Linked DNA regions of Oryctolagus cuniculus. The main gene of each other region encodes a partner of the protein of the gene in region 2 in a complex. Links are inferred from orthologs where the notes say so. Each region holds a gene or a part of one and is shown on either strand. Other genes may lie near its edges.

What was found. Proteins that work in one complex are often made in the same cells at the same time.
Region 1: the proteins of LRP6 (region 2) and SOST are in contact, whole or in part, in a crystal structure (PDB 6L6R), measured with the Homo sapiens proteins. The link is inferred for Oryctolagus cuniculus from reciprocal best matches to the Homo sapiens genes LRP6 and SOST. Residues at the interface, in NP_001401174.1 of Homo sapiens: Arg28, Asp52, Val70, Ser71, Glu73, Leu95, Ser96, Asp98, Glu115, Arg141, Trp157, Trp183, Asn185, Ala201, His226, Phe228, Trp242, Met269, Arg336, His361, Asp379, His404, Asp406, Thr422, Glu447, Arg449, Trp465, Trp491, Asn493, His534; in NP_079513.1 of Homo sapiens: Leu115, Pro116, Asn117, Ala118, Ile119, Gly120, Arg121, Arg169, Thr171, Arg172, His174, Asn175, Gln176, Ser177.
Region 3: the proteins of LRP6 (region 2) and DKK1 are in contact, whole or in part, in a crystal structure (PDB 3S8V), measured with the Homo sapiens proteins. The link is inferred for Oryctolagus cuniculus from reciprocal best matches to the Homo sapiens genes LRP6 and DKK1. Residues at the interface, in NP_001401174.1 of Homo sapiens: Arg639, Glu663, Ser665, Ile681, Tyr706, Glu708, Thr724, Arg751, Trp767, Gly768, Gly769, Pro771, Val790, Gly791, Arg792, Asp811, Thr812, Asn813, Leu814, Pro833, His834, Phe836, Trp850, Ser851, Tyr875, Met877, Arg1184; in NP_036374.1 of Homo sapiens: Glu185, His204, Phe205, Trp206, Ile209, Gln218, Val219, Thr221, Arg224, Arg225, Ser228, Gly230, Leu231, Glu232, Ile233, Phe234, Arg236, Ser258, Leu260.

The regions. Positions count from the first base shown.
Region 1 is NC_091448.1:19,384,027-19,388,330, forward strand, and holds the start of SOST (sclerostin), read left to right. Parts: upstream 1-1,501; 5' UTR 1,502-1,504; coding exon 1,505-1,856; intron 1,857-4,222; coding exon 4,223-4,304. UniProt on the Homo sapiens protein: Negative regulator of bone growth that acts through inhibition of Wnt signaling and bone formation.
Region 2 is NC_091440.1:109,750,605-109,754,049, reverse strand, and holds part of LRP6 (low-density lipoprotein receptor-related protein 6), read left to right. Parts: intron 1-1,093; coding exon 1,094-1,388; 3' UTR 1,389-3,445. UniProt on the Homo sapiens protein: Component of the Wnt-Fzd-LRP5-LRP6 complex that triggers beta-catenin signaling through inducing aggregation of receptor-ligand complexes into ribosome-sized signalosomes.
Region 3 is NC_091446.1:45,399,180-45,403,169, forward strand, and holds DKK1 (dickkopf-related protein 1 precursor), read left to right. Parts: upstream 1-1,187; 5' UTR 1,188-1,328; coding exon 1,329-1,574; intron 1,575-1,795; coding exon 1,796-1,958; intron 1,959-2,919; coding exon 2,920-3,063; intron 3,064-3,177; coding exon 3,178-3,431; 3' UTR 3,432-3,811; downstream 3,812-3,990. UniProt on the Homo sapiens protein: Antagonizes canonical Wnt signaling by inhibiting LRP5/6 interaction with Wnt and by forming a ternary complex with the transmembrane protein KREMEN that promotes internalization of LRP5/6.

The sequences.
Region 1 (4,304 bases), on a different chromosome or scaffold from region 2:
GGTGGGGCTCTAAGCATCTGTCCTGCCAACTCCAAGAACCCTGGCAGGGCAGTGGCTCTCTACAAAGTTCAGGGTGAGAGGGCCGTGGTCCGGCCACAGCAGGGTTAACAGTCCACATTCCAGAGCCAGGGGAAGGAGGCTGGAGGGTCACAGACAAGGGGAGGGGGCGCCGCTTCTCACAACCCTGCTGGCTCTGCTGGGAGAGATAGATCACCCCCAACAATGGCCACAGCTGTTTTCGTCTGCCCGAAGGAAACCGACTTAGGAAGCAGGTATCAGAGAGGGCCCTTCCTGCGGGGGCTTCTGTCTGGCTTGTAAAACTGTCAGGGCAGCTGCATCCATGTGTCAAGTGATGGATGACGGAAAGGCGGGGGACAGTCGGCCGCAGATGGACATAGCAACGTACAAGTTGAGGCAGGTGGCAGCGGCCTCCAAGAGGCTGTGCAGGTGGAGCGGGCTGATTCATTGCCCAGTGAAAATACCAAGGGGATCCGGGCCACAGCCCTCTTCCCAGCCTCCCTCCCTCCGGGCAGGAGCCCAGCGCCTCCTGCCTCCCACACCGCACTGTCCCCAGGGAAAGCTTGCCCTGGCCCTTTCTTTTCTGGCACCTCGGGTGTGAACCTTCCTCCCCGGCCCCTCCCCCTCCCCAGAGGCCTGATCTCCTGGGGTGGGGGGAGCTGAGAGTGCGACCCCCTGGGTTTCTCTTGGCTGCTTGGACTGGGCTGCAATGGCTTTGGGGAATGCATCCCAGGGTAGGCACCACTGGGGTCTCCCAGAGAGGACTCCAAGTTGCTTCTGCAAAGGTAGCAGGCTGGCAGACGGGGAAAAAAGGTCAGTACTGAACACATGCGCCTCGGCTTTGGCTAAGAAGGCCACAGTGTGGCCAGGGAAGGGACCACCCTCAGCGCACCAGCCCGGGAGCTGCAGCCAGTGCTCTGCGGGACCTGCACAACTCCACATGTCGCCAGCATCCTGCCCTTGCGCCCCAGCGGTCACCGAGCTGGGGCCCTGCGGCTCTCTTCTCTCTTGACTTCCAGGGAGGTTTTCTTGGTCAAGATGATCCATGCTGAGCCTCATGGCTTTGGGACCAAAATGGGGTTTCTTGAAAAGCCTGCTCCTGCCCCTGGCTGAGCCTGTGGGGCTGTCCGATGGGGAGGTGAGGGTGGCCTCTGCCCGGGCAGCTGCACCAGCGAGCTCAGGCCCGTGGAGAACTCTGAGCTACTCGTTTCCTTGGTTAGGCTTAGGCGGCTCCGCGGGTACCATGCAAATGCCTGAGGGAGGTAGACACCCAGCAGCCGGAGCTGTGAGCTCCTGCTGATATGGGAAAGCCACAGCCGCCTGCCTGCCGGGGGAGGTGCCTGGGGAGCAGGCGTGGGCCCTGCCTCACACGCCCCTCCCTCCGATCACCTGGGAGTGCCAGCAGCAAGTTGGAAGTTTGCTGAGCTCCAGGAGAAATCTTTGGGGAGGGCTTGCTCTGAGCACACCCCTTCCCTCCCCCAGAGACATGGAGCCAGCCCTGCCCCAGCCTGTCCTCATTGGCTGGCACGAGGCAGAGGGGGCTTTAAAAAGGGGACCGAGTCTGGGCTGGGGAGCCAAGCCTGTGCTCCTAGAAGGCAGGTGCCCTCCCGTGGCTGGCACCATGCAGCTCTCCCTAGCCCTGTGTCTCCTCTGCCTGCTGGTGCATGCAGCCGTCCACATGGTAGAGGGCCAAGGGTGGCAGGCCTTCAAGAATGACGCCACGGAAGTTATCCCTGAGCTCGGGCGGTACCCCGCGCCTCCCCCGGAGCTGGAGAACAAGACCATGAACCGGGCGGAGAATGGAGGGAGGCCTCCCCACCACCCCTTCGAGACCAAAGGTATGGGGGAGGGGAGAGCCGTTAGCCCAAGGGTCCTGGGGAGGAAGGGGGGATGTTTTAGAATCTTCTCTTCGGTAGGCTGTGAAGGCTGGGGCTCACCGATGCAGGGACAGGCACTCCTGGAGGTAGGGAGGGGTGGTGAGCCAGTGCAACCTTAGCCTTCAAGTTCAGGGGCACTGGACCAGGAGGGGCTGAGGCGGTGAGGGTGCAGCAAGGCAGCAGGCTCCAAGGCACAGGATAGAAAAGGGTTCAAAGAAACCTCTCCTGAAAGCACAGGAGCCAGGACTGGGGACAAGGCAGGAGCCAGGACTGGGGACAAGGCAAGGGCCCCGCACATCTGGAGTGGCACGTGCTGAGCACCGAATGCTCTAGGCAGGCTGTCGCTGCACTGTGACCGCAGACCCAGCACGTGCAGGGCAACCCCCAGATCCAAGTGAAAGCTACGGAGGCTCCTGAGATGGAGCTCCTTGGTTATAAGCAGCGGAGCTGAGATCTGAGCTCAGGGCCATTCAACTGCAAGGCCGCCAGGCGTGTGCAGGAGGGGAGGGGTGTTAGAACCCGAGACCCTCGCACGGCAGTGGGAGAAGGAAGCCAGAGAGGCCCCTTCAGCTCCTACTGCCCACCGTCTACCCGGCCAGCTGGCCTTGAACGAAGTGGGGGTGTAGGCACAGCTTCAGCCTCTGGCATGGGTGGCAGCTGAGTCCAGGCCCTGGCGGGGGCGGAGACAGGGAAGGCAGCAGCCTCTGTGCACGGAGTGGACACAGGTGGCACTGCCAGTGCGGAGCCCCCACCCCAGACCCAGCCTCTCTTATCCCTGGGTGGCAGTGGGGCCGCTGCAGGGCTCCTGTGTGCCACCCCTGCCAGCCTCCCACCCAGCTGCTGGAAGTGGGCCCCGGGGAAGGGCAGGCCCCTGGGGGCCAGCAGCGACCCTGGGTTTCACAACAGAGGGTGGGCGGCAGGAGCACTCCTCCCCAGCCCCTGAGCTCAAGGGGCTCCCACTTACAAGGCTGCAGGGGACCCGAATATAACATGTCCACTTCCCCAGGCTCTCGTGAGAGGCCACAGCCCACCATCCGGCTCTGCAGAGGAAGTGCTGGGGGGGGCACTATTCTTGGAAAAGCCTCCTTCCCTGGGCAACAGGCCGCCCCACCCAGCACTGCTGCAGGTGGAGGATGCCAGCCCCGAAACCAGGCAGCCAGCCACGGCCCTGCTGCGCTGGTTCTCATGCCTCTGTGTCACCGGGGAACTGTCCAGTGAAAGCTGTTGGGGTGGACCAGCTGTTTAGAAAGCCCCCACCTGCCTAAGCCCACTGAAAGAGGCACAGTCAGTGTGTGCAGGGGGCCGAGCCACATCCAGCGAGCAGGCTTGTGTCGCCATCAGGTGCCCACTTGAGTGCCACAGAGCAGCAGACGTGCTTAGCCAGGAGCCTGGTACATAGTAGGTGCTTAATAAATGCTGGTGGCAGCTGACGCTATGGAATCAGAGCCCAGTGCCCCTCTGGCAGGAAGTAACTGTGGTAAAAAGCAGTCCTGTGCCCCCGGGGGCCCAGCCCCGCCTCCCGCGGGCCCCCCCAGCAGACCCCTTTCACCCAAGCTGCAGGCAGAAGGTGTGGGCGGTGGGAGGTGGTGCTGGGCGAGCCGAACTGCCTTTTGGGCAGGTCCTTTCCCCTCTCCTGGCTTCAGCGTCCCGTCTGATAATGAGGGGGTTGGACGCGCACCTTCGGCTCCTTTCAAGTCTAATGAATTCCTCCCCTGCCGCCTCCCGCCCATGCTGCTCCTCTCCTGCAGCCGCTCTGATTTACGGCCTGCAATCGACCTCTCTCCCCCTTTCTCCTTCTCCTGCCCGCCCCTGCCAAGTGGCTGGGAAAGGAATTCGGGAAAAGCCAGACCCATGCAGGTGTGGCTGGTACCGCCCCGGTGCAGGCCAGGGCCCCTCGTGCACAGGTGTGGTTAAACTCAGCAGATGCCCCCCACCCCCGAAGAATAAAAACAAGGCCCCACAGCCCGCAGCTCCCACCCCTCCTGTGAACCCAGCTGTGCAATTGTGCACGAAGGACTGGCTCGCTGGAGACTCCAGACAACCCATTTTGCAGACTGGGAGAAGTGAGAGGTTAAGTAATTTGTCCGAGGTCACACAGGTGTTAAGGGATGGGGCCCTTGCACTTTAACCCTAGCTGCCACTCGGCCACAAGGGCAGAGGGTGGCCCTGGGTTGATCCCCTAACCTGCAGGAGTAGGGGGGCCTTCCTGTAACAGGTGCACAGGGGCAGGAGGCCCAGGTGTGTTAGAGATGGGATGGGGCTCGGGGCACGGGGCGTGGGGCGCCAGCCGGCCCAGGCCCCACCCTCACGCGCGCCTCTCTCCGCAGACGTGTCGGAGTACAGCTGCCGTGAGCTGCACTTCACCCGCCACGTGACGGACGGGCCGTGCCGCAGCGCCAAGCCGGTCAC
Region 2 (3,445 bases):
GGTGATGTCAGATGGTTTGTGTCCAGGGATATTATCTGTGGTGCTTTGTCTCACCAGACACTTCGTGCATTGTTTTTATCAGCTGTATACTTGTTCTTGCCCCTTCTCTTGCAGCCATTTTGATGAGAAAGCTTATGAATAAATCTTGGGGATAAATATGAAATAAGATTTTCCATATTTAGAAAAAAGAGATAGGAGAAGTTGCAAATAGAAGTAAGAATGAGAGCAGAGGCAGCACTAAGATCAAGTCTTACTTTCACTGGTATGCTGCTCTCTTTCCAATTCATTTTTCTTGAGTTAGCTATGCTATGAACTTAACAACTGTAGATTAGTTGAAAAGATAAGTATAAGAAGTAAGTTAGGCTTTTCTGAAATATATTGGAAAATTCACTGACCTTAAATGGGTACATAAAATTACTCATTTTGATGTTCAGTTAAAGCTGCCCTTTTGACTGTATATTTATCTATGTGCAAGGAATCAAAACTGTTCCCCTCAGACCACAGCGGTGTCCTCTTGCTAGCAGCAACAGTGTAATGGGGTAGGTGTGGCTCATAGCTGTCCGTAAAAACTCAGCCTGGGTTGTATGGTGTTTGGGTTTTAAAGAAACAAAGTCTTCATGCATCAGAACGTTGAGAGAATGTTAACATGTTTGGGTAGTATAAAACACACGAAGACCTATCCTTCTCATGGGCCATAAAACTGCAGAAATTGGTAAGGTCTACTCCATTAAGTAAATGCAAAAGGTATACAAAGGTTTTCCAGAGGTGACCGTTGTATAGCTTCCATTCTGTGGTACAGTTTAACTTGAAGAGACAGGAGCACATCCAGAGACTGGATCGAGTTCACCTCTGCTTCTCCATCTTGTCCATTGCACTTGCCGCTAATGACATTTATTTGCCAAATATGAAGATGTGTGCTGTCTCCTTCGTCCAGTCTCCCATTGGAAATTGCCTCTGGATCTGCGCAAATTTAAATTGCAGTAGCGTGTTGTTTTCGAAGTGAAGTTTACCTCTGATGTCTCTGAATTCTGATGAGGAAAATCATTTTGCTGTGAAACTAACTCTGCTTCTCTTTATTTCCTTCCCGTCCCAGCTACAGGCCATATAGTTACCGGCACTTTGCACCTCCCACCACACCCTGCAGCACAGATGTCTGTGACAGTGACTATGCTCCTAGCCGGAGAATGACCTCAGTGGCAACAGCCAAGGGCTATACCAGTGACTTAAACTATGACTCAGAACCTGTGCCCCCACCTCCCACACCTCGAAGCCAATACTTGTCGGCAGAGGAGAACTATGAAAGCTGCCCTCCTTCCCCGTACACAGAGAGGAGCTACTCGCATCACCTCTACCCGCCGCCGCCCTCGCCCTGCACGGACTCCTCCTGAGGAGGGGCCCTCCTCCTCTGACTGCCTCCACCGCAAACATGTAAATACAGTGTGGTTGAGATCTGGGGGGGAGGGGGCTGTTAGAGAAGGCTGAGGCAGACCTTGTACAGTTAAAATTATAAAATGGGCTAGGGGATACTGGAGATATTTGTACAGAAGAAAAGGATATTTATATATTTTCTTAAAACAGCAGATTTGCTGCTTGTGCCATAAAAGTTTGTATAAAAAATAAATTTGTACTAAAAATTTTATTTTTGCAAACTAAATACACAAAGCATGCCTTAAACCCAGTGAAGTGACTGAGTACAAAGGAAACAGGAATAATAAAGGCATCTCTGACCAGGAATGTCTGGGCTTTATTGATACCAAAAATGAAAAAAAAAGATGACGACGACAATTAAGTCCATCTCAGAGCAGCAAACCATAGATACTTGGAAGAAGCCAAATAGCCTTCATGTTAACTAACATTCGAGGGCCAACAAGTGAAGACATCATGAAGGGGGGCGGGGGGATACTAACCTTGGACAAAGGGCTTTGTTTTCTCTCGGAATCCAACTGAATTTTTGTGAGGAAATAGATATTTGCAAAATCCCTTCTGGTGTTGCTGTTGTGAGGTGAGACCAGCTGTCTGGGCAGATGCTGCAGGGCCACGTGTGTGCAGGTCTTCTGTCCCTGCCATGGAGCCTGCTCCTCCCCCACAAAGTCGTGCTTTCACTCGGCTGCCTCCCCCAGCAACTTTGTAGGCCATTTTTGCCAAAATACCATGATGTATTCCAGCAATTAAAGAAATGGAATTGTCTAAATCAAAGTTTGATTTTAATATTTCTACTAGCTCCATTCCCCACTAGGTTTAGCTCTTCATTGACTGATGTTTTTGCATAATGATCAAAGATTAGACATATTATTTCTTTTCTTTACTTCAAGGTCATTTTAACATTCATTAAAATGTCTCCTTACAACATATAGACAGTGTTTAAGAATTGCAAATTTAACCATTATGTTTTTGTTGTAAATTAATCATATATCCTTGCAGTACTTTCATCATATAATATCACAATATGAAATCACTTTTATATGTTTTTTTGAGTAAAACATTTAAATATGTTCTGGTTAGAGACAATCTATTTAAAAATAAAATTTTTTGTCATTAGGGTTTTCCCTATATTAACTGTTTGTGCCATTTTCGTGCTCTTTAGGCCAATTTTTTCTCAGAATGATGTCTACATATGTACCTCTTCTGATGTGTGACATGAGTTTAATATCTTCCTGTTATCCACTGTGAATGTAAGGTTGTTTTCAAATTATCCACAAATTATTCTTATAATCATTATGTTTTTATGTGTGTTCCGTCTTATTCCATTATGAACTAAGTAATTTAACAATCATCTGGGGAGTAAATAAGAAGGCCAACTATTAACGTCTCAGCTGTCAGAACTTGGGAGCAGGGGAATATGGAAGTCTCACTCCGTCTGCCTGACCTGCTGTCATGTACAGTACTGGGGCTGCCACATCTTAAGCTTCCAGGGATGACCCATGCAGCAATTCTAGCCTGCTCTGCCTCCTTGCCAGAAGTTAGTCTCTTGCTTTTAACACATGTCTGGCACTTCTCTGCTAAAACTGAATGTGTTTTCAAACTGATGTACTTTGACCTAAACAGGTGCTGGTCAGTTAGTTATGAAATGACTTTGGTTTTTGTTTTTAATACTGTCTTGTCAGGGCCTCTCTGACTTGCAAGAGAAAATAACAAAAGAAAGGATTCAGAATTTTTGGCAGGGATGAAGTAATGTTTCAAGCCACTCAAAAAATATCTAAATAAACTTCTTAAAGAAAAAAATATGGTTTCAGAATAATGCTCAGATTGTTGTGGACAGCTTATGAGAATGATCAGGTGCACTGATTTTGCATATGACTAAATGGTCATCCATCAGCATTAACTCTTACTGTTAATGGAACAAAGTGCTCCCAGTCTAAGATTGGACACTAAACTTGCATTCTGTGACACATGGGAACACTTGATGTTTAAATGAAGATGGAAAGGTTAGCAATAACTGGGTATC
Region 3 (3,990 bases), on a different chromosome or scaffold from region 2:
TTTTTACAAAATCTTACACGAGTCTGATTTACTTTCTGGCTCACTTGCCATCCTCCCTGGCCCCAAGGTAGTCTCTTATCTCCCACCGTCGCGGGGAGGCACAGACTTGCGATCAAACACCGGCGTTCCGAAGCCTGGGCGATGGGAACCACTAATGAGGAAGTCAGGCGCTCAGCCTTGGGGGATCTTATCCCCTGCATTAACCCACCGCTGAGAAGCGGACCCAGGGAAAGAAGGCTGACCCAGCACGTGGGACCCTGTCCGCTCTGGCTCGGGGCCACTTTGATCTCGCACGTCTGCCTCATCAAGGTCATCTCAGATTCCAAGATTAAATAGTTAGATTATCAGATGGCCATTTCCCTCTTCCCTCTACCACCCCTGATCTAATTTCCAAACTCCAGTCTCTCGCCTCCCTCTCTAAACTTCCCATCAAAAGAGAATTAGTTCTTCTTCCTTGTTGACCCGCGTTTGATGTGCAAATTCCCTTCTCTTTGCACTTCTTTTTTTTTTTTTTTTTTTTTTTGCCGCTGTGGCCGGGCCGGGAGGCGGTGTGTGTGTGTGTGTGTGTGTGTGTGTGTGTGTATAGGGGTTACAACTGGATGAACCTCAAGCCTAGGACCTCACCCACGCCTGCAAAACCGCGACTCCAGGAGGGCTCATGAGCAACTTGCAAACGGCCACCTGGTACACCTCCGGCAGGGACGGTCGGCTGGAGCCTTTGCGTTAATCTTTTCAGGCTGCATCTAACACTGAATGTGATTTTGCTTGTACGACAAACCAGGGCCGGTGGTGGAAGACCGGCCAGGAGCGAAGAGCGGATCTGCAGCGAGTGCTGACCGTGAGGCTCTGCAGCCTGTTGCAGGTCCGTCTCGCCCGCGCCCTGCTGCCAGGCCAGTGCACCCAGGGTCTCAGGGTCCCTCCCGCCTCCAGCGAGTCCTCCGGTCCACTGCCCCAAGCTGTCCGAGACGCGTCAGCCCGAAGCTAGCTGGGCGGAGGGAACACCTCGCGAGGTTGGGGCGGGGTGACGAGAGTCAAAGGCCCCGCTTCTTGTACACAAACACACCCCCTGCCAGCCCCTCCCAACTCTTTGAAATCCCATCCCGGCTTTGTCATCCTCTCCCCCCACCCCCGGAGGGGCCGGAACGCTCCGAGCCCGCTGTATAAAGGCAGCCGCGGTGGCGGCGGCGGTTCAGTGCTGCCTGCGGCTGGCAGTCGGGACGCGGAGACCCTGACCCCGCAGCCGCGCCAGCACGGCTTCCTTCGGGACCGGGCCTGCGAAGGGACGTGCCTCCTCTTTTTCCTTCTTTCTCCCACCGAGTCCTTCTGAAATGACGGTTCTGGGCGCAGTGGCCGCCCCGCGGGTCCTGGTCGCCCTGGTAGCGGCGGCTCTTAGCAGCCACCCTCTGCTGGGAGTGAGCGCCACCTTGAACTCGGTGCTGGTCAATTCCAACGCCATCAAGAACCTGCCCCCGCCGCTGGGCGGCGCTAACGGGCACCCGGGCTCTGCAGTCAGCGCCACGCCCGGGATTCTGTACGAGGGCGGGAACAAGTACTTGCCCCTTGACAACTATCAGGTGAGCGGGGTCTCGGGGGATGCTGCCACGCTGCGGCCTTCCAGGGCGGGGGGACCCATTTGCCGGCGAGGGTGGAGGTTGAGGGTGCTGGGCGTGTCTGGTTGAGGGTGAGAACCGGCAGCCCAGAGCTGCAAGGGCTTTTGGAGAGGGGTTCAGCCAGGTGACCCTGACGAGCGTTCGGGTGCCTGGCTCCTCACCGTCTCCCCGCCGGCTCCCCGCAGCCGTACCCGTGCACAGAGGACGAGGAGTGTGGCACGGATGAGTACTGCGCGAGTCCCGCCCGCGGAGGGGGCGCCGGCGTGCAAATCTGTCTGGCTTGCAGGAAGCGTCGAAAACGCTGCATGCGTCACGCGATGTGCTGCCCCGGGAATTACTGCAAAAACGGTGAGTCCGGCGGCTGGCTCCCGGCTCTGGCTCTGCGAGCGCTGGGGCGCCCGCCACCTGCGAGCGGGAGGCGGAGTTGGCTGCAGATCTCTTCCCTGGGAGCAGTAGACAGAACTCTGCAGTTCTCCTGGCTTTTTCCTCTGTGCCCCTGGGGGGCCAGTTGAGACTGGAGAGGAGAGGGCGAGGAGGGGGTCCCTGAGAAATACCCGGGGGACCAGCCCTGACTTTCACTGCCCTGGTCCCTTTTTCTCACGGTGACTCTCAGGGCTCCTCCTTTTGAAACTGATGTCTGGTGACTTACCTGCGCTGGCCGTTTTTCAGGGAGATCTTGATACCCTCACCCGTGGGGTTCTCGGCCCCTCACTCTTCCTTCCACCCTCGCGACCTTAAAATAAGCACTTCCCTTCCCTCCCTCCCCACACCGAGCCACTAAAAGTTAAAGCCTCCGGGGTGGCGACCCTTCTCGGGACCCAGCTGGACCCCGGGACGAACTTAAGTCTCTGTGATAGAGAAATGACATCGTCGGGGAACTGGTGAGACCAGCATCCTCCGGGCAGCTGGAATTGCATTTGCTTGACGCAGTCTGGCAGGACTCATAGAGCCCCAAGTCGCAGCAGAGAAGTTGTGTTGAAGAACAATGACGATTTCTTTTTCCTTACTCCAAGGGGGACAGTAAAATGGGCAGAAACCTCACTGCCCCTCCCACAGTTTGTGGGAGAGTATTTTCAATGGCTCTACCGGGACTGATGCCCGGGAGGCAGCCGTGCACACGTGGATGCTGCTGTCCGCTGGGGAGTTCCGCAGGGACACTAGGGAGGAAAGTTGCCTTGTGCTTAAAATAATGCCCCTGCACCTGAGAGGTACCTCACGTGCATCAGTCACCGCAGAGTGCTTCTGTCACAGCTGTTGGCAAAAAAAGCATTACCGCCTGGGAGTTAATCACTGTTACCTGCTTCCTTAGGAATATGCATGCCTTCTGATCACAATCATTTTCATCGAGGGGAAATCGAGGAAACCATCGTCGAAAGCTTCGGGAACGACCACAGCACCTCGGATGGGTATTCCCGCAGAACCACCCTGTCTTCGAAAATGTATCACGCCAAAGGTAGGCGGAAGGTGCCCTGATTCGTGGGCATGCCTAAGCTGTTTTTGTAGTTGTCTCCCTGGAATGATGATGGCTTGGCAGTGACGGGTTTTCCTGCTGTCTCCTCCTTCGCAGGGCAGGAAGGTTCCGTCTGCCTTCGCTCATCAGACTGCGCCACGGGGCTGTGTTGCGCCAGGCACTTCTGGTCCAAGATCTGTAAGCCCGTCCTCAAGGAAGGTCAAGTGTGCACCAAGCACAGGAGGAAGGGCTCGCATGGGCTGGAGATTTTCCAGCGCTGTTACTGTGGAGACGGGCTGTCTTGTCGGCTGCAGAACGATCAACATGAAGCCAGTAACTCTTCCCGGCTTCACACCTGTCAGAGACACTAGACCAGTCGTGGACATGCGGTGGACTCCTATAATATATACTAGGGAAACCTCTTATGACTTTTCTCAGCTCAGTCCTAAGGATGTACAAATTCAATGATTACCATTAAGCATTCCAATAATACCTTCCGAAAATCTGGAGTGTAAGAGCTTTGTTTCTTGATGGAACTCCCCTGTGATTGCAGTAAATTACTGTGTTGTAAATTCTCAGTGTGGCACTTAGCTGTAAATGAAATGAAACTTCTTAATTATTTTTCTAAAAGTGCTACATTGTCTATTGTTTCTCTTGTTATGTAAATGTTTGTATACATTGTTACCTTGACTCTGATAAATATTCTATATTGAATTGAAATAAATAATTTCAGTTTATGGTTCCAGTTCTTAAGTGTATAGCCCCTTTCCCTTTTAATTCTAGAGTCTGAAAAGGCAAAGAACTCTTGGTAGAAATGATAGGCACCTAAAATTTACCATGAAAATATGAGCTTATTTTTCAAAATGTACCATCTCAATGATTAGATTTTTATTTCCTACTAGGCTGTGATAGTCTTTGAAATAAAATTTC